Drosophila melanogaster: one gene and its partners. The protein of the gene in region 1 interacts with the protein of each later gene in a pairwise test. Each region holds a gene or a part of one and is shown in the gene's direction. Other genes may lie near its edges.

Region 1 (5,933 bases):
GATATGGAAATGTGTGAGCCCATGGGCGATATCGACTGTCGCACGGGATCGGAGGTGCAAAGGGAAAACACTACCGACAGCTCCTCAACGGAGATTACCTCGGAGTCCAGTACGATTTCCACAGTTGTAATCACCACATTAGCCCCATCGGCAGTGGTCACATTACGACCATCAGTCAATCAAAGTGGAGCCAGCAGTACGACTTCCGTATCGCCTGCTATAGAGATTATTGTGACCAATGTGTGCCCACAACTGGATAATCAGAGTCGTATCGCATTGCTGCCAAATCAGAACTCCTGTTCAGATTATTACATTTGCTATCGCGGTGTGGCACTTCCCATGAGTTGTGCCACCAGTTTGCACTTTAATTCACTCACCGGAAAATGCGATCATCCCGAAAACGTTAGGTGTTTGGTGGGTTAACCTATGGTACTTCATATCTTATAATTTTTGTATAATAAATTATTTATTTACAGGCCATGACTTATAATCCCAGGGAGCAGTGCAAGCGACATGTAATCGATGTTTATCCGCATTCCGACAACTGCAATTACTTTTACCAGTGTCGCTCTGGCTATTTGATGGTCCAGCAGTGTCCTTTCTTCTACGGATGGGACTACGAGAAGCGATCCTGTGTAGCACTAGGTCAAGCCAAATGCTACAACAAGCTGCAAATGCAAATGAAAATTTATTAAATACACATAATAATATTTATTAAAAAAAAAAAACGAAATTTTACATTTAGTTAATTAACGAGCTTTGTGGAAAAATTGAAAATATTGAACATAAAGTGTTGTATGTTTACATATGGAATAAACCTAAATACTGGTAATCAATAAGACTTCTTTGTAAAACTATCAAGCAACACGGCCGACCTTGACTCTTTCCTAAATTTATCAGGTGATATCAAGCAATTCTTTCATATCTCTGCAAAATGAAGACCTTGAATCGAAACATTTGCCAAAATAGGCCAACCTTCGATTTGAAACATAGTAATTTGACCGATATGATACGATTTTCCTCACAAGGACAACATATGTCATCGTGATATCACCTAATCAATTTCCTAGCTAATCTCGGCTTCCTTTTCACCAGACTTTAAAATTAAAAATCCAGCATTAAAGTTGTATCTGCTTGCCATTTCGAGATACGATATCGATTGATTGCGAGGAAAGGGAGCCATATTTCTTTTTTGGCAAAACAAAATACAGGAGTCTTATCAACTTCTTCCTACAAGCAATTGAAAATGTTAATTTTCTGATACTGAGCCACATATGCGGCTGTATCTTGGCGCCGAATGTATCACATATATGCCAAGTTCACCGGGCATTACGAAATTAGAATATAACTGCGCTCTACTGGAGTCTGACGATAGAAAAAACGATGATGCTTAATACGGGTTAGTAAGATGGATATTCTCAAAACTAATAGTATGATGAGAATTTATTGGTTTCCAGCTTTCTATTTGATCGTGAACTGCTTGCTGGCCACAGCGCAATTAACCTGGAGACCATCGAAGCCCACAAACTCGGTGACCATCAGGCAGAGTGGTAGTAGAATATGTGCCAATCATTTGGTTGGTGAGTTTGTGGAGCATGCGGAGGACTGCCACATGTTTTACCTGTGCGTTGAGAACGGGGATGCAGTCCTGGCTTCCTGCCCACCAACGATGCTCTTCAATTCGGAGAGCAGACTCTGCGATTCGGCGACAAATGTAAAGTGCAGAAATGAAACGGATCCCATAGAGACTCCTCCATTCGATGGCGGAAATGGTGATGGAGATCCGAATAACATGGTCACGGATGCCGCCACTTATTGCTCCACGTTGGTGGAGCAACAACAATCCAGCGACAGGATTGTATATGTCGGCAGCTCGAGTAGTTGCAGAAAGTACTATATTTGCTACTATGGACAGGCGATCTTGCAGGAGTGCAGCTCGCAATTGCACTGGAATGCAATGACGGGTAAATGCGATATTCCGGAGAGAGCCCAGTGCACCGTAGGTGGTCAGGAGGATATGCCAACGAATGGAAATTCCGGTTTCCCATCCGGTGGCACCGCCATTTCGAGTGATCTCATTCACTGCCCCGCCTACGGACAGCATCTGTATCCCCATATGCAGCGATGCGAGTTCTTTATCTACTGCGTCAAAGGACACGCCAGCCTGCAGCAATGTCCTTTCTATTACTTCTTCGATATTGCCACCAAAAGTTGTCAATGGTCGCGCACGGCTCAGTGTGTGCGAGATTTAAATTTGGCACCACTAATAAAATAGAAGTTTTAATATATGTAGCATACAATTTTTTGAACTTTGGGAGATACCAAATGCTTTTAGAGAGGTTTCTTTTAAAAGTACTACTACTTTTAAAACTCCCGCCGATTACAGATGAAAACCAGAACTAATGTGTGTACACACTAACTTTCGACAACAATGTTCGATGAATCGGTTTCGATAAAGTTGACTATATGGCCACTGTTCTTTTTTGCGGTAGTCAGACACGGTCATACAAATCCCACAATATAATGTTAAATTAATCATATTTATACTTATCTTCATTTAAGTAAAGCGAAATATTCGATTGACCCTCGAAGTAAACAACCCAGGTGCTCAAAAATGAAGCTAACAAAGTTAGATTAATCGGTGTCTACGAATTATCTGGAAACACAAGCATTTCCCGTCATCTAACTCAAACTGCCCAACTCGAAAAATCAACAATATTTTTGCATCGGGCCAAAGGTGCATTAAAACCGGAGCCTCAAGTCTCGGGCGGCAGGTAATTTATTCAAGTTCAAAACAGCCACCCGGGGATTCTCCTAGACATCGGTTGCCACAAGAAAAGAAGAAGAATTAGGCGTAATCTTCTAGAAAATTGGTGATTTCAGCCGAGAATGTTTGAGAATTTTCGAGGTATTTTTCGGAAACGGCGTCGCTGCGAGTCGGACACAACACCGCCGCCACCGCCGCCGCAACCCGCCCAGGAGGCGGAGATAATAAACCGATATCCGGAAGATATAGAAGCCGATACGCCCGAGTCCAATGATGGCTTTGACGCCTCCTGGACCGAAGGCTCTTTTCACAGCCCACATTCAGATAGGTAATTGAATTCTGCGCATTCACGCTTCCTCTTCTCTCTTATTGCAGCTTCAAAGCAAAAACAGATAAAATTAAGCTTAAGCAACAGCATCAAACACTTCGACACCCACTCGAAAAAAAAAGCTTAAGACATTCCAAAAAAAGTAGCCAGCAAAGCGGCTAAAAAAAAATAAATAAGATAAAACCAAAACCCAAAACGAAACAGTAGGCAGCTATCCAACCATCTTGGGTGACAAACACTTGACCGGCTTTTTGGAGGGCGACAGGTTTAAATCAAATCTGGAGCAGCCGCAGGATATGGAAGTTGATGCGCCAACAACGCAGGAAACCAGTGACACTCATCATCATCACCATAGTACTTATCACCAGCAGCTGCATCAGATCTCGCCCAGCGATTACCACTCGGAGGCATCCATGAATTTTGATCATTTGCAAGACCTGAGGGCCGATGCCATGGCCTCCTCATCCCCATCCGGATCCGGAGGTGGTGGCAATGGCGGGAACAGCTCCTACGGACTCGTCGACGATAGTAGAGCTCTGGACAGGTTGTTATTCCATCATAACTAAAACCAAATCAGACACGAAACCAAAACAATACCACCGATTATATTCACACAACCTCGTAGCGAAACAAAAGTTATACGTTTCTTATCTATTATTTCTTCACACTACCAGCTACCAGCTTCATTCGAATCTTTTGTTCCATAATAGTAATGGTGATAGCTTAAAGTATCTGCCGCGAACGCCCACACAACTCTCAAAAGAGCTTTGTGTGCGAGCGCCTTTTCTTGTAGACATATTCTGGTTATAATTTCGTAGCTCTATAAGTGGTCAGTCGATCTGTAGCAGAGCGATCTAACAATCTAACGTTGCTTGTCTCGTTTCATGACTTAACCACTGAACCGCAATCACACTTAACCGACATGTGACAGACCATTTAACGCCAGCGAGAGGTAAATCTTGAATTTATAATAACCACTGAGCGTGACTAACCTTTGAGTGACTCGCAGATTTGTCACCATACTGGATAGTTTGGATGCACGTGTGGAGAAGCTGCGCAAGGATGCACTCAACCTGCAGGAGAAGAAAGACTACCTTCTGATGTCCATGGATCTGATCAAGAGCAACGAAATGATGCAGAACATGAGCGAAGGTAAGTGACAGTGATTCTTAAAACTAATTTGAACCCTCATTGTTCATAGCTTTACTAAAATGTGTATTATTTCGAAGTCGGAAGTAATGGTTTCTGATGACAAACTAAGTAAAGGGTTATTCATAGTTGACTGTGAGCTAATGTTGTACCACCTTCTTTTGCAGCTGAACGAGAGGAGATCATTTTGTACCTACAACGGGTGAGCTCTCGCTTGGCCACCGTGGAGCTGCGTGTGCGCACTGTTCGGGACAACTCTCAGGAGGATTCCCTTAGCCAGATAAATGTATTGATTGACAGCATGATCAAGATGGGTGATCCCGTGATCGGACGCCAACGATGCCAGTTTTACTTAAACGCCTGCTGCAGCAGCTCAATGGATCCATCCGGACACATGGACACCGTGCCCGAGGCCGATGTTGGGCCGGTCGACAAGAAGTTCGAGAGCGTTTTGCTTGGCTGCACTCTGGACGATCAGAAGAACATCAAGAAGCGGCTCCAGGCCTTAATGGCTTATCTGAATAAGCAAACTGTTAGCCATTAATTAAATTGTTTTTTGGTCTATTAACTATTCATAGCATTATTATCAAACCAAACGAAATACATCACCAAGCTAGATGAAACGAATAATAAAGAAAGCAGCATATACACCAGGCCAGCAGTGTTTGAATCAAGTAAAATATAATTTTAATATTTATATTAACAAACTAAATGTTATAAGCTAGGAAAGCACATGTCCTTCGCATTCAAGACCCGATCACTTAGGACCCATAATGCATCATTGGAGGTGAAGAAAATCTGCTGAATGTTCTTCGATGTGATATATATGATTTCGTTGCCCTCGGCTGTGATGTTGGCTAGTTTGGCACATCGTACGACAGCTCCGAATTTGGGGATAACATAGTACAATGTTCCGAAATTGTCGATGATCATGCTGCGACTGCTGCCCAGAAGACTGCCCAAATGTGTGAGTTTAATGCTATTGTTAATTGGTTTGCTTGCTAATTCGCTTTTGCCTTCAATTTCCAGTCTGTCCACCGTACTGTATAGATCACCATCCTGGTCGGAGAGTATGAGTTCCCCTTGAATTCCGAAGATGAAATCCACTGGCTTGATGGGAAACGATTGATTCATATTCTCGTACTTATTGCTCTCCAAGGATAGGCGGTGCCACGTCTGCTCCAGGATGTCGTAGGCTAGAATTTCTGGTACCTTTCCAAGGATGAAGTAAATATGGCGCTCGTGCTCGCATCCCGGACTCTTGGGTCCCATTTGGACAGTCAGAAAGTGGGTGTCATTAGCACCTATATGGTGTCCACAATCGATTCTCAATAGCTCCGCGTTGTTACGCATCAGATCGAAGACAAACAAACGGGGTGAGCACGTGCTGCCGGGAAATCCGATGTCCATGACCCACAGTCGACTCAGTGCATCCACCTGGGACCAGTGTGCCTGTTGTACCAGAGAGCAATCATCATGATCCCCCATGGAATGAACATCGATGTGGGGAAAGACGACAGTGGGCATGGGAAAATAGGAAACCGGCCATTGCGCCTCGATCAAAGTGGGCGCATCGTTGCTTTCTACATTTACGCTGAGAAACACTCGCGAAAAGTGCATCGATAGATGACGGACTTTGTAGCTGGATTCGTTTAAACCAGATTCGGATAACAGCCAGGCGTCCGTGGC
Region 2 (4,692 bases), on another chromosome or scaffold:
TGACCAAAAAAAAAACAAAAAAATTGGAACATTGTACGATTCCCAAACCAAAAACCAAACACTTATTATGCCTAAATGTTTTAACTGATATTAATGTTTGTATCTTACCATTAAGCTTGTGTGCCGTCACATTGAATCGCCCGATATTTTATGATTGTATACTTAATAAGATTATAATTCCTAACTGCATATCACGTGGTCTTCACCGATCGACGAAGACACGATTACGAACTGTGGGCAGTGTGACTGCTAAAATAAGACATGATTTTATAATGAACTTTTCATATACAATGTTTACATTTTAAATAAAACGCAGATATCTTTTAATTTTTAAAAATACGTGTGTATAGTTTATTATTAGGCGCAAGAGACTTTGTACTATGATTATTGAGTCGAACTGCGTTAACAAATACTTTTGAAATTTGATTCTGATACCAGGAGATTGCAATATGACTGTGGAGTGATTCATTTACATATTAAAAAGCTAACACCGTTGAAAATTTAAGAAAAATGCACCAGTCGCGAAATTTATGATCATCCACTGTTGGCTGTAGTGTGTGTGTGTGTGTGTGCAAGACTGTGGAGATGCATTCCCATGGAGCGGTTGCATTGAATCATTCTTTCAATACGAGCAGCCAATGGCCACGGTGAGGAAGTCCTCGAACCCAATGGTGATGGTTCCATTCTGCTGGGTGTCGCGCTGCCTGAAGGCCTCCGTGAAACGCTGCACCTGCACGCAGAGCACTATGAACTGATCCACGGACACCTCTTTGTGGCCCTGGGGGTCGCTCTTCTTCACCAGGAAGTTTATGAATTCGGGCGAGAATCGAAAGCCCATCTGGGTGAAGGCTGCCAACAAGTTTGGTAATTAGTGTAAAAGGCCATAAAGGAATTGGAGATTCAGTTGTTGTGTTAGCTTACCTTGGGTCAGCTCCTGTTCCTCGATATGTCCAGAGGAGTCCTGATCGTAGGTCTTGAAGACTTGCTGCAACAGTGATACAATGAGTCAGACTACTTAGTTTCGATATAAGAAATACCTTACCAGCCATTGGTTGATGTAGTTGTAGAGCTTCTCGAACTCATAGATATCGATGGTACCACTGGCGTCGTTGTCGAACATGCCTGTTGAGTAAATTAAAAAAGGCGATAAAAATACAACATAAATCGCAGGGTAAACAAACGGAAAAGTGTCTGGCGCTCCAGGTGATCTAAACAAATATGCATGTACCCTAAATTGGGGCAATAAATACAGTGAAACATTTATAGCCGAAAGTATAACTAAATTGATACTGACTGTCTGTTAGGGGAGTACTGACGTCACAGTTTCCGGAAGGGGAATCGAAGGAATTTTAAAGTATTTCATAACTGAAGCTTACTTAGCTATCATCAGCTCACAGGATGATCTAAATATATGTGCCCATGTGCCCTTCATTGGTTCTTGGCATACAGCGGGTGTGCTAGGCTACGCATAGAAGATTCAAATCGACAACCTGTTCTTGTGTTCTTGTGTTACTATATTGCCTACCAAACTAGTTTAGCTTATGATCGTCTTTTAGAGGGTCTACTGTATAGTATACAGTGTATACACGTTTGTTAGTGTTCACCTACTGACGTCACAGTTCCTGTAGAGGAAACTTTGGGATCTTTTTTGGGCAGGGCTTAAGCTTACTTATCATCAGCTTGCAGGCATTATCCGAGAAGTGATCGCCACGCCCATTCACCAGGGCCGCCTGCAACTCGGAAGCGTTTATCTTTCCAGATCGGTCGCGGTCCACCATGGAGAACCATTGCTGTGCCTGCGGAGACACCTGGGCATTCTGCGGCGGAAATGCTCCTGGCGGCGGGGCATAGCCACCACCGGGCTGGGCATACGGGTTATAGCCTTGTCCCTGTGGATAAACGGTAGTAAGTACATTTAATCCACTTTCTTAAGCATAAACACACTCACATAAGACATTTTGTCACGAGCCTAGTTCGATTCTAATTGGAACTTGAGGGACAAAACAATTTTAATGAAACTACAGATGACAAGAAGGGCGTTCACCAACACTGGTTTGGGCAAGCGATAACAATGTGACATATCGATAGCATTGCTAGACTTATTGCTTGGCTATACTCCCATCCCTATCGCCGGTATAAACAACTAACAAAAGCAGCAAAACATTAAGCAAAAATGTCGAACTTCGTGAACTTGGACATCTTCTCCAACTACCAAAAGTACATAGACAATGAACAGGAAGTCAGGGAGGTGAGTTGACGGTTAATATCCTAAAAACCACCATCTTAAACCATTGTTTTTAGAACATCCGCATTGTGGTGCGCGAAATCGAGCATTTGTCAAAGGAAGCGCAGATTAAACTGCAGATTATTCATAGCGATTTGAGCCAGAGTAAGTTCTGTACAATTTGGTAGCTTGTATGTTTTGTTCTAATATGACATTATACTTGAACAATAGTTAGTGCCGCCTGCGGCTTAGCCCGCAAACAGGTTGAGCTGTGTGCCCAAAAGTACCAGAAATTGGCCGAACTGGTGCCAGCTGGGCAGTACTACAGGTGAGTCAGATGGTGAAATCCGTGGTGTCTATTGTGGGTGTCGAATGCTCCGCCTTCTCCAGATACTCCGATCACTGGACCTTCATTACGCAGCGTTTGATCTTCATCATTGCCTTGGTTATTTACCTGGAGGCGGGCTTCTTGGTCACCCGCGAAACAGTGGCCGAAATGCTGGGATGTAAGCTAGATTTGGAAGGCTCTCTGGATACGAAATAATAGTTAATTACTCCACAGTGAAGATCAGCCAGTCTGAGGGCTTCCATCTGGATGTGGAGGACTATCTACTGGGCATACTGCAGTTGGCGTCGGAGCTCTCCCGATTCGCTACCAATTCCGTCACCATGGGCGACTACGAGCGTCCCCTGAATATCTCCCATTTTATTGGTGACCTGAACACGGGCTTCCGTCTGCTGAACCTGAAGAACGATGGCTTGCGAAAGCGCTTCGATGCCTTAAAGTATGATGTCAAGAAGATCGAGGAGGTCGTCTACGATGTCAGCATACGCGGTCTGTCCAGCAAGGAAAAGGACCAGCAGGAGGAGCCGGCTGTTCCTGCAACCGAATAGTTTACTTCGTACGTAGGATAAGGCGTTTATTAAAATGAAAAAGTTTCATTTAAACAAGCAAATATATTACATTCATTAAACAGAGTATCATTTTATTTTACTATTTAAATCAGGAATGCTCGTAGGAATCAAATGTAGCAGGATATATGTATGTAATCCTGTGTTAAAAATCTGAAATGTGTTTTTGTTTTTTTTCAGAACACATTTCTTTACATCTTAATAGGCACCATCTTATTTTAATGATCAGTTTACACAGAAGCGAAATAGTGCTTTGAACCATAACAAAAAAACATAAGTTTGTGCAACTTAAAGGTAATTAAAATGGCTGTGCGCGTTTTGATTAAATCATAACTAAGTATACATAGAGACAAGTGCAGAAGTTTGATGGCTTAACCCTTTTGAAACTTGTTTAGCCACCACCACTGGGCCGCAGTTGTTGTTGTTGCCCCGATCATATGGTGGATTTGTTGCTGCTCTTCTTTGGCCGCTGCTTCCGTTTCGCCTTTGCTTCTGCTTCTCAGGCGCAGTTTCAGTCTCTCTTTTGCCACCGCAACGCTTACAACGTTAACATTGCGCGCGCGTCTTTGCATTTTCTTGTTTGCTGCTTCGTCGTCCGTCGTCCTTCCCGTGTTGTTCTTATTGTTTTTTCCCGCTTTGTGCGCTCTTTATTGTTTCGCCCTTTCTAGCATTTTGATTTGAAAGTGGAGACTGCAATTGGTTACCATTTCAAGAAAGTAAGTCTGGCGGGCAGTTGGCCGTGTGAAAAGTCCGTTGGCCCAGAAACTCACCCGCTCTCTTGACCACGCCCCCTTTTCCGTCCCCGGCCCGAAAAAAAAGCTAAAAACTGAGAGACTCCAACCTGTTTGGCAATAATTGGGTCACAAATCTGGTAAAAACTTGTTGCCCGAAATGGTCACTAAACAAATAGCACTGTTTTTATTACAAAACTTTAGTTGAGTCTGCAGTTGCCTTGTTGTTGTTTGTTTGTTTTAATTTTTTTATTTCGTTCCGCAGACATAGTTGTTGTTTGGTGTTTTTCAAAACACGCTTTAATCGAAGCGGTTCAAAGTCCGAAACAAGTTTCCTGAGAGGCTTAACGGGGCACGCTCTCTCCTTGTTGCTCTTTCCCCTCTTCTTACAACGCACTGAGTGGGAGGAGAGCGAGAAATACTGAGAGAGCTTTCGACGTAAACATCTGAAAAGCAAAACCACAACAGACACCCACACACTGACGGGCAGGTGTTGCTCTCTGCGTCTCTCTTTCTTCCTACCCCCATTCCAACTTTCTTGCATTCTCATTTCGAAGGGAAAATGCCAAGGAAAAGCCCAGCCGCAAACCAACAACAAAAAGTCAATATAATAAACCCAGAATCCGAGTGCTAACTGTTATGGAAAGTAGCGAAACCATTAGCTATGGACCTCCTTCATTGAGTGTTTTGCTTGCATACCCGGCAATTAAAGACTTGCAGGGTATGTGTATTTTCAATACATCAAAAAACAAAAAATAATATATAGAATATATTTTAGTATCGAAAAAGATTTAAAAAAAATTGAAAAATTTTAAAATACGCCCT
Region 3 (6,522 bases), on another chromosome or scaffold:
AGGTGAGTGCGGAATCTGGGATCTGTTGGATATTTCCTAGTTGGCTTGCCAACCAATCTAAGCTGTTTCGTTGTGCACAGAGAAAAATCGTTATAATGCAACATAAGTCGTAAATCGTAGGTGTATAAAAGTATGCCACACTTAAATTCATATGTCTGCATACCTACGTGTTTTCTTTTTAGATTGAGTTACCATTTTTCTCTGTGTATATATGAGCTAGATTGAGCTGTCTCTTTGTCCAGATGTCTATTTGCTATGCATCCAAAGTGGCTTCGCGCCATCGCAACGATGATGTATTCATGGTGCGGGCGGTGAAGGTGTGATGATGTCATGTGGGTGGGTGGTTGGCTAGATGCGCAGATGATACAATGCGACTGTAACTCATCAATTGCCACCGATTACCAATGCCCATTTGCTATGCATTCCGCGGGCTGTGCACGCGTGCAGTGCGTTTAAAGCCGCTACATAGCTGCAAACTGCATAACCTGCATAATTGAAATGCCTTTTCCGTACATTCCAGTACCCCGAGCTGAATCCCATGGTGATGCGGCGCTTCAGCGAGCCCGGCGACGTGGAGCGCGCCTTCGAGCTGGTGCACAAGTCGCACGGTCTGGAGCAGACCCGGTTTCTGGCCAAGAAGCACTGCAACGAGGCGATACGGCTGGCCCAGGAGCTCACGGAGTCGCCCTACCAGAAGGGTCTCCAGGTGGTCGCCGACTTAGTCATCAACCGCATGAAGTAGAGTACCGAGCACCCGAACACCCTAACATAAACCATACACGTAATGCAATAATAATAATATTAATAATAATATTGTTATGTAGGCCCATTGATGTTTGGATTAAGTCCTGTTCAGCCGGCGGGCCAATTTGTAAACAAGAATTATTATTTAGTTTTTAGGCATTTGTTGTTGACACTGTAAATAATTGCATAAAAAAACCTAATCAACACACACTAAATGGCAACGATCGCTGTACATAACATAATTACAAGATGTTTAATGAATTTTTGACAAATTTTGTATGCAATGTTTTTCGACAAATTTATTTATATGTATAGAGAGCGAAACATGAGCCAAAAGCCAACAACAATAGGGGAAACGAGAAAATTGTACAAACATTTCATCAAATAAATGAATGGAAATGGGTTGCCAGGCGAGCACCAAATGTGGAATCTACTTTAAAATGAAAATGTTTATTAGTCAATGCAACAAAGAAAGCCAGTGTGTAGAGCGATATTTTTAATACGAAGCACGAGGAGCATAATTGGTTTATTTTATATTAATACTTGATTTAGGGCATTTCATGCCTAAATGGTTCAATGGTCATTGCCTGCACTCTGTTTAAAATCCCTTCCGACCGCACAAACTTGTAACTTAAAGTGGAAAGCCCGTAGTTTAGCTGGATTAAATAAAATATTTTGAACCATTCGCGCATGAAATGCATATTATAATATGTTCTATAAGAAATGTAACGAGGATTGTATGTGAAACAATGCTGCCCAGTCTTAATTTTAAATCTTTCTTCTCCGCCTCTAATGCAATAGTAATTTAAAAGACATTTGAAACGAATTCGAACCGCAAACCCCAAATGTTGAAATGTTCTACAAATCTTTTTAGATGTAAGTTTTTATTTTAATTTATAAACACAACCTCAGTTAAGTTAGTCAGCGAAATTCGTTTTTTTGTCCGTTTAGTTTTGATGCAAATTCATTGGGCTCCTTTACAGCCTGCTCTACACTGAAAGAAAGGCAAATGAAAGATATAATGCAGAAATTTGCTGGCTAGTTAATCAATACAATTGGGTGCTGACGACGATATACCCACATATTTTAGAGTGCGAACGACAAAATAATGATACAGATGTTGATATTGATACATGTAATTACGATATTTGTATACCTAATGAGATGAATAAAAATTCGATTTTGTAAAACAAGCAAATTGGAGCTGATTTCGCCGCTTGTAGCTATGCAACATATTAACCACCAACCAGGTTGACCCAGTGAAATAGTTTTGGACATGGCCAAAATGCCTTATGTTGCAACGGGCATGGCTGAAACCGAAATTGGGGCAAACAAATAAATTTGGCGGTGTGAGTTGCTGGCTGAAATTGTAACTGCCACACGGGGCGTATGAGTAATGCTTGCTGCTTAGGCTTGCAAGAGCTTTTCATTTTAAAACATCAACAAGTTTCGTATTAAGTGGCACGCTATACTGCAGTAGGCTTACTTTTGCGTTTCATTAAAACAGAGCATCACGATTCAGGTTAAGCCAACGCAGCCGTGGCATTATTTCCAGGCAACATAAAGTCAATATATTTTATGTCCAGGCAGTCTAGCAAAGTGGAGCAGGCAAACATCGTGTCTAACTGGCGAAATATTTAAATAGCCAGACCAAATTAGCTGAGGTTTCGATATCCTTCGACTCGCCTTCAAGGACAGACGACCGAAGTGTGCCTTAACCTAGGTTATAAATAGTCGGGCGTGCTGCCTAGACAACCGACCCATCATCCACGGCCCTTTAGTGCCTGGCACGGATCCTGGCAGCCAATTCGGCGGTTAAACGGCTTGGATGGGACACGAGACCGATTCAGTAACGCCGCGTTTGCTGAACGCAGCGCTACTTCTGTTCTCGTTCTACCAGTTTCCCAAACATCCAGATAGGATCTCCAGAGCATTCAGAGAGCCATGACGACTAGCGATGAAATGGGCATGGGGGGCAACTTCTGCCACGACCACATCCAGCATCCGCTGATGTGGTGCGATGAGAAGAAGCGTCTTGTGGAGCGCAAGAATGCAGAGGAGAGTCTTCGCATGTGGCGGCGCCGGAAGGCGGAGGAGTGTGCTCGCAAGGAGAAGGATAAGCAGGAGGTGGGTAACAGTGCGTATGTGTGTGATATTTCCAGACCGTGCGTATGAGTTATATTTTAGGGCCCCAAGCAAAGTTGTTAGTAGTTACCTGAAACACCTTAAGCTTGGAACTCTGAACCCTAAATATATTAGTTTTAAAACTTTAAAGGCCATAATCAATTCACCAAGTTCCAAGTTCTTTGTCTAAGTCTAAGGCAAAACCAGAAACGAACGAAATGACAATCGAAAAACATCTCGAACCATCCGCCACGCAATAGTTGCAACTTTTGGTAAGTTCAAAGACCTGCCTCAAGCAACATGTAAGGCATCCGCCCCCGCGGATCTGGTTCAACAAACCCTTTGACAATTTCGACTTCGGTAATCAAATCCCCTCTCTTCGGCTAAAAGCCCAACTCCTGCGAGTCCTTGCGTGACTGGAGTCCTGGCTCCTTGCTCCACTACCTATCACAACCTGCAGCTGTGTGAAAGCGCCAACCGAAATGTGGGTGAAAAAAATCAGTGAAATGCAAATCGCCGTTCGCTGCAACTATAACAACAACCTACTAACAAACTTTGTGGGCCAGGGCAGCGGGAGCTCCTGAATTTGCCAATTTCCGTAAACAAACATCGCCACACTTCGCGGAGTGACACGACGAGGTGGGTTGAGGCAGTCTGGAGCCACAAATAGGCTGCCACCCAATCGATAAGGCATAACTCGGTGTTGTAATCGTCCTGCGGAAGTAATTTAATGTATTTATGTTGTGACTTTATTGCGGGTAATGCGATTCATGATTTCAGCGGAGGATACGTTAGTTTGCCTAAACGATTTTTCCAAGCATCACAATCTTTACTGAAATAAGTTGAAGATCAATTCGTATCAACAATGTTCTTTTATCCAGTACTACGACCTGTTTCACCAACATTGTCCCTGGGGTCGACCTGGTGGTGGGGCACCCAACGTAGAGGTGCGACGCAAGGACATCACAGCCGCTGGCCTTCACTCGACGCCCACAGTGGTAAGGACTCTTGAATCCTTCTCGAATAACATATATTCTACTCCAATAATTTGAATGTGCCGCAGACCAATGCCCACCGAATGAATCTACTGCAGCCGTGTCGCTACAACGACTTCTTCTCGATGCAGAAGAAGTGCCACAACAACCCGCTGGCCGCCTACCATCACCACCACCACCACGCCCCGCCTGCTCCGCCGCCGGGTGGCCGACTGGGCCACGCCCACTCGGTCCATCACCTGCAGGAAAGTGGTCCCAGGAGCAGCACCGTAACGATTTGCGAGCGGGAGATTCCGCACAAGCCCGGAGCGGCAGTTGGTGTCAATGTGGCCAAAAACGCCAACGGTGAGAGCCTTCACATCGAGCTGAAAGAACATCCTTCAATGTCGTTTCGCAATAAAGGCCATGTGGACATAGAATTGCGGTACAAGCCCTCTCCTCCGTGCAAGGGGAAGCCGCTTCTGGAGAAGATCGTAGTCAGCGAGAGTGAGCAGCGATGTCCTTTGCAGGAAAAGCTGGCCACTCAGAAGAAGCGCTTGCAAGCCAAACTCGAAAAGCCGGTGAGCGGCACTTATTACGCCCCCTGAAACCAAGTTTAACTAATCCCTCTTTATCTGTCCTCCTTCTAGTCCTGCAAGGAGCCGTGGGGCAAGGCGGGTCCGGGCGGCAAGCCATGGCGGAGTCCCAAGGAAGTGGGCAACACGTTCATGAAGTCACTGGTGGGTATCAGTCGCTTGTGCTCATATGTACACTGTTTAAATATAATCTAATTTCAGGGTTGGACGAACAAGGAGATGCTGAAGGAGTTGGACCAAGATAACCCGGTGACTCCCGCGGAGAAGAACACCTTTCGCAAATCGCGACCAGGCAAGCCACCAAAGCCGCAGCGCTGCTGTGAGTTGTGCACTTGCAAATGTCCCGCCATGCAAAAGAGTCCGCCCAAGCCGTCGCCACTCTCACTTCCCATTCCGCCAGGCAAAAAGTGCCCGGGTCCGCCAGGTCCGCCGCCCGGAAAAATGCTGCACCACTTGAAGCCGCAGGACTGCGGTAGCAAGCCCATCAAGTTGTGCCCCCGCATAGCGTCGAGAGGTCCCTGTCCCGGGAGCACCAGTACCGCCACTCCGGATCCCAGCACAGCGGGAGGAAAGGGAGGAGCCTATGGCGAAGGTGGTGGGGTGGAGCTGGTTCCCCTGCTCGCCAGAAGGCGTGGCATGCACCGACCCATCAGTCTCTCCAGCACGGACGTGACCAAGAGGACACCGTCGCACGATAGGTACGCATCCAAGCACAAGCATCCACCAAAGAACTGTCAGCTGACCACCACCAAGATCAAGTGCATCAACAGCATCATCAAGAACATTAGCCACATGAAGCGGCTGCCCAAGAATCTGAACTGCAAGCTGCAGTGTTGCAGTTGCGATTGCCCCACGGCCTTGGCCACGGGCTGCTGCCTCAAGCGGCTGACCCTGCACATTCGCCAGGCTTGAAACCCACGTTCTATCAATCCCGATCCCCTCCTGCTTTCATAGTACTACCATTCCACCACCTCCCTGCTCCCACCGTTTCTCATTTGCTTGCTCTGCGCCAGACATTGAAACGAAAGTCCGCTTGCCCCTCTATGCCTTTGCCTTGTGATCTTGTTCTGTTAATGGTTTCTCTAATCCCCCACTTCTCCTCGGCTCATCCAGCAAGAAAATATCCATTGTAATACAAGTGAAAGTATAGCAACCAAACGAGCAAACCAAATACCAATCTCACCAAAATCAAACAAACCGCAACAGCAAAAGTCAAAAATCATAATACCAATCTTCTATGTATGTATCCCCGTGCAAAACAAATCGAACTGAAAACCGAAAATCGAAAATTCGAAATCTGAAAAATCGAACTGATATAAATGAAACTATAATATTGCTGCCCACCAATCGACCGGCAACCAGGATTCAAACGGCCGCCGACATGCGCTATCTGCACGACCTGAATGTCCAGATCTCGCAGAACCGTCGATCCGTCTCCGTTTCCAAGCAACTGGACAGGGATCTGTGCAACCAACATTTCGACACATTCGAAACGTTCTGGGGCAGACCAGGACATGGAGCCCGTGGCGACAAGATCAACAAACTGAAACTGGACAATCTGCTCTATGGCGCCAGCGAATCGGCGTAAGGCCAAGGATTCTTGGATATTCAAGGATATTCCCTCACCTTCTGACTGGCTCGTAGTTTGTGCGCTTAAGTCATCTGCTCAGAAATCAATCGATGCCAAGACCCATGAAATCACATTACTGGAGTAATTATTTATTTATTACTATTTTAGGTTCTTCAAGTTCGCAATTCCAGTAATATTAATATCAGCCTATATGTCATTTGTACTATCTCTGTGAAAATTTTGCCAACTTGCTTCTAGTAAGTTGACCAAAGTTTTGAATAGGTTGTTTTCTAAATTAAGGGAAAACTAAAAAATATGGTCAGGGTGGTGAATTAAATTACAAAATCTCTTTTGATGGAGAGTGTAGGTAGTTTAATAAATAGGTAATAAAGAAAAAAATAGATCTACGAACTCTTTCGAATCTTTGTTAATTTAATATTGACAAATAATTCATTTTGGCTTATATATAGCATAAGTAATATCTTGTAAATACAAAACAATCAATTATACAGAA
Region 4 (5,096 bases), about 14 Mb from region 1:
CGTTCGAGCGCTCCGGTCCGGCGCTGGTCTTCACCTTCATGCTGGGCGGACGCCTGGTGGTCTGGTACCAGACCGCCCGCCTCCAGGACGAGGCCACGACGGCAGCGCAGCCTGCTGCGAACGGCGTAAAGCAGGACTAGGTGCCTGCTACCGGTGCATCACGTACTCATAGTCATTCACTGATCCAGCTTTGTTTTAGCACCTTAAGTTGGGCTCGAGATGGCGCGCCCTGTCTGCGGGTCTCAAATTCATTCACATCATTCTAGCAAATCGAAATTCATGTTTTCACTTTGGTGCCAAATTATTATCGTATACAGAACTACTATATTGTATGCAATGGCGAGAGATATTAACTAAACTGTAGACGCGACCAGATCAAACCAGAATGTAATCAAATCCTCTTCGTAACGGGCACTTAGTCGGAACCATTTAAATTACGACTTTAGAAACAATTTTAATAAATTTGAACAACTCATACATATTTAAAATTAATAATCCAACGTCAGTCAATCTGAATTTCGTTTTACTTTCGTCCTCAAACGAGCGATTAGCAGGAGATTATGCGGCATTATACTGGTGCTCTAAGCTATAACTGTGCCAAGGAAGCGATTCCTAAATACGTGTGAATGTGGATGTGTACGCCCTACTCGGACCCGGTGCTCAGCAGCTTCAGGGCCTTCTGCAGGTTCTCGATGGCTGTCTTGACGTCGTCGTAGTTGAGGGCACTGCCGGCGTACTTGCAATACTTCTGGGCGGTAATCATTTGGTCGGGAGTGATTTGCACCCCGGCCACGGGCACAATGGGCTGGTAAATGGTGGCCGCCGTGGCCGGATTAGGCTGAGCTGTGGGCACGTAGGGCACAAAGCCGCCCGGCTTCTCCTCGTCCACCGGTGGACTGGGCAATTTGTTCGGGTTGTTCAGCACCTCCTCGGCGGTGGGAGGGACCACTCCGGAAGTTGTCGGTGATGATGGAGCTGGTGGCTGTGAGTCAGGCTCCGGCTGGTAGGGCGCTGGAGCAGCTGCTCCCGCGGCGTCCTCCGGCGATGTGTCTGCCGAGGCGTTGGCATTCTCCCCCTCGAGCTCCGCCTCATCGTCGTCGTCTGGCAAGGGGCCGGGAATCGGTGTCTCACCGTTCTTCAGGCAATTGTGGATGTAGGCGGCCTTCCACTTGGCGTACTTCCTGTTGTGCAGCGCCTCTTCGCTCAGTTCACCGAAGGTCTGGAGAATGTCGTAGAGCACACCACTGGAGTAGAAGGCCTTAACGACGTTTCTGCGAAGAAGCACAATCTTATGAATCAGGAAAATCGATTCAGGGTATTTCTACGAAGGGAACGCACTTTCCGAAGTTCTCCTCGCGATCCTGTTTGTCGGCGTACAGGAATAGTTTCAAGGCGTAGTTCTCGATGTGTGCCTGGGCAGCCACCTCGTTGGTGATGGCCTCGTTCTCAGCATACTGTTTCTTCATCTGCTCCAGCCAGTCCATGATGCCTGGCGGTCGTAGGGAAAACCAAAACAAAACAAACCACGGATGAGTCATAGGCTGGTAATATGCGTATCGGATTTTTCACTCACCCAGCAGCAGTTTGGTTTCTTCACCCGTTTGGGTGGAGGCTTTGAGGCCCACCTGGAGAGCACTGGATTCGGAAGATGAGTAAATACGGGCAAAACAAGAAAAACTAATCTGTAGATACTCACTAGAGTCTCGCCCAGTAGGCGATGACCACATCCCGGGTATCATGTTCCTGGGCCAGCTTCAGAAAGTGTTGGATGGACTTCAGCGAGGGAGGACAAGGCGGAAACTCCATCGTGGTGGAAAGAGGGCTTAATCTTTAGTTCTATGCTTAATTACGGATCTGGAAAATTATGCCGACAACAATGGAAATGACGAGCACGCAGAGTGACCAGATATCGCAGTTTCTCGAATGCCATGGAACCACCCCAGTTCCAAACTCTGGAACTAGCGAAATACTAAAGTTTGTACCTTCGGCTAAAGTTGTTGGTTCGGCGCTCAGTTGCGAATCTGCGACCAAAACGTTTGGAGTTTCTCAGGTAAGCACTGGACTCTGGGAACTGGTTTTCGCTGTTATCAGTGCGACCAGTTGCACTTTGCACTTTGACCTGCATCCTTCACACCAGTCACATTCCAGGCACATCTCTGCACCACCGGCAACATGGTTCTCTCCAAGCCCCTGTACTCGCTCTTCGGCACTTATCTGGAGCAGCTCTTCAACCACCCGGTCCGCACCAAATCCATTACGGCGTAAGTACACTATTCGCCTTATCATCCGGTTCGCCTCACCCACCGGCTGCTCCTTACTGCAGATGCGTTCTGGCCACCTCGGCTAATGTCACCTCCCAGCGTTTGGCGGGCGCCAAGACCCTCAACCAGCAGAGCGTATTCGCCTACGGACTCTTTGGACTGATCTTCGGCGGTAGTGTGCCGCACTACTTCTACACGACGGTGGAGCGACTCTTCAGCCAGGATGTGCGCTTCCGAAGATTCTTCCTGTTCCTGTCCGAGCGACTGGTCTATGCTCCGATTTACCAGGCACTGTCCCTGTTCTTCTTGGCCCTGTTCGAGGTGAGAATCCATAATCCGCAATCTCAGTTCCTAGAACTATAATTTGTAATCCCTTACAGGGCAAGTCTCCCAGCACTGCATTGAAGAATGTTGAGAAGCTCTACTGGCCTCTGCTGAAGGCCAACTGGCAGTACCTGTCCGTGTTCGTGTACCTCAACTTCGCCTACGTGCCCCCGATGTTCCGGTCCATCAGCATGGCCATCATCTCCTTCATCTGGGTGGTGTACATCGCCCAGAAGCGTCGCCGCTTCCAGGACAAGCTGGCCGCCAAAGAGGCAGCCAAATAGGCTATACGACCCTTAAACCCTGTGGTAGTCGTCTTGGCCTAATATTCCAATTACTGCTTAGATTACGGCTGAACTGCTTCAAGTTCTTTATCTTCCCGCGTTCCGGCGGATTGCAAAAAGTCCGTGTGTATTTGAACACTTTAGATAAGCTAAAACTAACTGGAGGGGCGCCTTATCAACCGACTGTTGTTATACCTTAAACCCTAAATTTTGTAAACTTTTCTTACCAAAATAAACTAATATACAATGTATAAGATATCTAGATATCCATGGCCAAATTTGGCCAACAGAAATGCTTAACAAGTAGCGACAATCGTCGATCTAACATCCCATTTCCATTGCGCACAATGGATCCCAATTTGAGAAATTCCAAGGCAACCTTTTGAGATGCAACAAATAATGTCTGTTTTTTTTTTATTAAAACGCAGCTTAGAACTAGCAAATAATCGAGCAAAGGCTTACAAACGAGAATTATTGGCTTTTTATCGGCGCTACAATATAATTTCGCTAGTAAATTCATGGGCAGATGACTAACTTAGGGCTACGGAATGCAGTGTAAAACAAGTTAAATGCGCATAACAACTATCTTAAAACTAGGATTCTGACTAGAGGAGGTGACTACGATGATGGTGATGATTGTGGGGGGCACCTGTGCCTCAAGACTCGCCGCACATCCTGCGCAGCGACGCGGTTAACACTCAGAAGGCGGCCATCGACGGACTCCGGCTGTTGCGCAGGGGCGTGAGAAGGGGCGTGGCAGGACTGCTGGCGCGGCTAAAGCAACTGGAGCAGCAACTAGAGGCATCCTCCACCTCGCCCTCGGCGTTCGCCTTGTGGTGATAGGGAATCGGTCGCTTGCGAGCGCTGAAAGCATAATGAATAGATTAGTATGGGATTCGTGTAGCAAGCTTAAAAACCAAAGGGCAAATATGAAAGTAACTCACCAAACTGAAAATCGTAAGGAATAGAAAAGCAGTGGCTAAAAATCAAACAAAAGAAATCCTATAAAACCATATAATCGGTAAAGTGACAAAGTTTATTTGCGGCTTGGCTAAATTACGAAAAATCAGGATGACACACAATTTGATAGCTACAAATATATAAAAGAAGATTGGCGAGTAGTTAAGATAATCAAATTATAAGTAGTTCCTGAGTCAGCTGAAAAAATAAAACCATTTAGAAGAAATCAAGAGTTCGTGCTGTATAAATAAGGTGTAAAATTATTGTAACTCAATCGTGTAATGGATATAAGCAGTCACTAGCGTCTTGTGCTGCGCGGCGATCGACGGCTACGAAATAAAATGTAAAGAACAAATAAAATGTAAAAGAAAACGATTATTCAAAGAAATAATGAGGTCAACCAAGGCGGGGCAGGAATCCTGCCAAGTTACCTCGTTATGCGACGTCTGTCCAGAAAGCTTGGCGAGCCGCGACGCCTTGGGATGGAGGGCGATCGAGAGCCGGACTGTGATGATCCGGAGCCGCTGCCGGAGGAGGAGCTGCCCGAGCTGCTGTTCGTGGAGCAGCTGGTGCGGGAGGAGTGCGACCCAGACCTTGAGCTGTGCGATCCGCTGCGACTGCTGGACGAGCTGTACCGCCTACGAAGAGGGATAAGATTTAGCATTAGTCTACATTTAGAAACTTGCTCAGCCAAGTACTTACGATCTCGACTCGCTGCTGGAGTCATGTCGATGATGGCTGGTGCTGGTGCGCCTCTTGCTGCGACTACGACGCTCGCGACTGCGGCTCCTACGGGCCGCACTCTCCGCCGCCGCCACGGTGGCCGTGGATACCTTGGAGACGATAGCATCCACCAGTGAGCTGTCCGCGAGCGCCGCGACTAGAGGCTGTGGATCGTGAATTTTGAAGGGTTTTATAACGATTTTCGGTTTTTGTTGGTGTTGATGGTGATGATGAAGGTAGCTAATACTATTGGCGGCCACAGCCGCAGCCGCTGCCGCCGCATTGAAGCTAATGGGCCCGCCACCACCCCGGACATGCGACGGATGGCCCAACAGCGGAGCACCTGGCCCACTCATGCCCACACCAGCTCCCGTCAGGGACAGCAGTCCCGGATGGCGCTGTCCATGGCCGAAGAGAGCCGAGTTGTAGACCAAGCCACGAGCCAGGTGGTGCGCCTGCTGCTGCTGCAGGCTGTGCTGGTGGTTTTTGCAGATGTTGTAGTGTGTGGCGGTTAGAAGGGGACCGTGGTTGAGGCGGTTTGTGG

What was found.
Region 2: the proteins of CG7945 (region 1) and trsn interact in a two-hybrid assay, tested with the Drosophila melanogaster proteins (one large-scale study listed by BioGRID).
Region 3: the proteins of CG7945 (region 1) and CG15564 interact in a two-hybrid assay, tested with the Drosophila melanogaster proteins (one large-scale study listed by BioGRID).
Region 4: the proteins of CG7945 (region 1) and CG7970 interact in a two-hybrid assay, tested with the Drosophila melanogaster proteins (one large-scale study listed by BioGRID).

Annotation. Positions count from the first base shown.
Region 1 is NT_037436.4:15,520,674-15,526,606, reverse strand, and holds CG7945 (uncharacterized protein), read left to right. Parts: upstream 1-2,469; 5' UTR 2,470-2,774; exon of another isoform or gene 2,775-2,889; coding exon of another isoform or gene 2,890-3,095; intron 3,096-3,142; 5' UTR 3,143-3,391; coding exon 3,392-3,639; intron 3,640-4,026; coding exon 4,027-4,047; intron 4,048-4,104; coding exon 4,105-4,247; intron 4,248-4,411; coding exon 4,412-4,788; 3' UTR 4,789-4,896; downstream 4,897-5,933. Other genes in the region: CG33985 (uncharacterized protein), read left to right, coding at 1-414, 477-695; CG33986 (uncharacterized protein), read left to right, coding at 1,384-1,399, 1,458-2,275; yellow-k, read right to left, coding at 4,959-5,933.
Region 2 is NT_033778.4:10,477,520-10,482,211, reverse strand, and holds trsn (translin), read left to right. Parts: upstream 1-2,100; 5' UTR 2,101-2,173; coding exon 2,174-2,248; intron 2,249-2,301; coding exon 2,302-2,389; intron 2,390-2,455; coding exon 2,456-2,552; intron 2,553-2,614; coding exon 2,615-2,730; intron 2,731-2,786; coding exon 2,787-3,118; 3' UTR 3,119-3,201; downstream 3,202-4,692. Other genes in the region: Pef (peflin), read right to left, coding at 623-849, 922-985, 1,043-1,122, 1,670-1,889, 1,949-1,957.
Region 3 is NT_033777.3:31,231,448-31,237,969, reverse strand, and holds CG15564 (uncharacterized protein), read left to right. Parts: upstream 1-2,607; 5' UTR 2,608-2,688; coding exon 2,689-2,871; intron 2,872-3,749; coding exon 3,750-3,866; intron 3,867-3,931; coding exon 3,932-4,208; intron 4,209-4,265; coding exon 4,266-4,423; intron 4,424-4,492; coding exon 4,493-4,582; intron 4,583-4,639; coding exon 4,640-5,350; 3' UTR 5,351-5,555; downstream 5,556-6,522. Other genes in the region: qless, read left to right, coding at 1-2, 521-742; CG15563 (uncharacterized protein), read left to right, coding at 5,676-6,026.
Region 4 is NT_037436.4:1,650,994-1,656,089, forward strand, and holds CG7970 (uncharacterized protein), read left to right. Parts: upstream 1-1,806; 5' UTR 1,807-1,882; coding exon 1,883-2,050; intron 2,051-2,137; exon of another isoform or gene 2,138-2,148; coding exon 2,149-2,261; intron 2,262-2,323; coding exon 2,324-2,582; intron 2,583-2,641; coding exon 2,642-2,869; 3' UTR 2,870-3,245; downstream 3,246-5,096. Other genes in the region: CG13920 (uncharacterized protein), read left to right, coding at 1-140; Vta1 (vesicle trafficking 1), read right to left, coding at 644-1,271, 1,339-1,489, 1,574-1,635, 1,697-1,806; Srrm234 (Serine-arginine repetitive matrix 2/3/4), read right to left, coding at 3,568-3,733, 4,261-4,467, 4,532-5,096.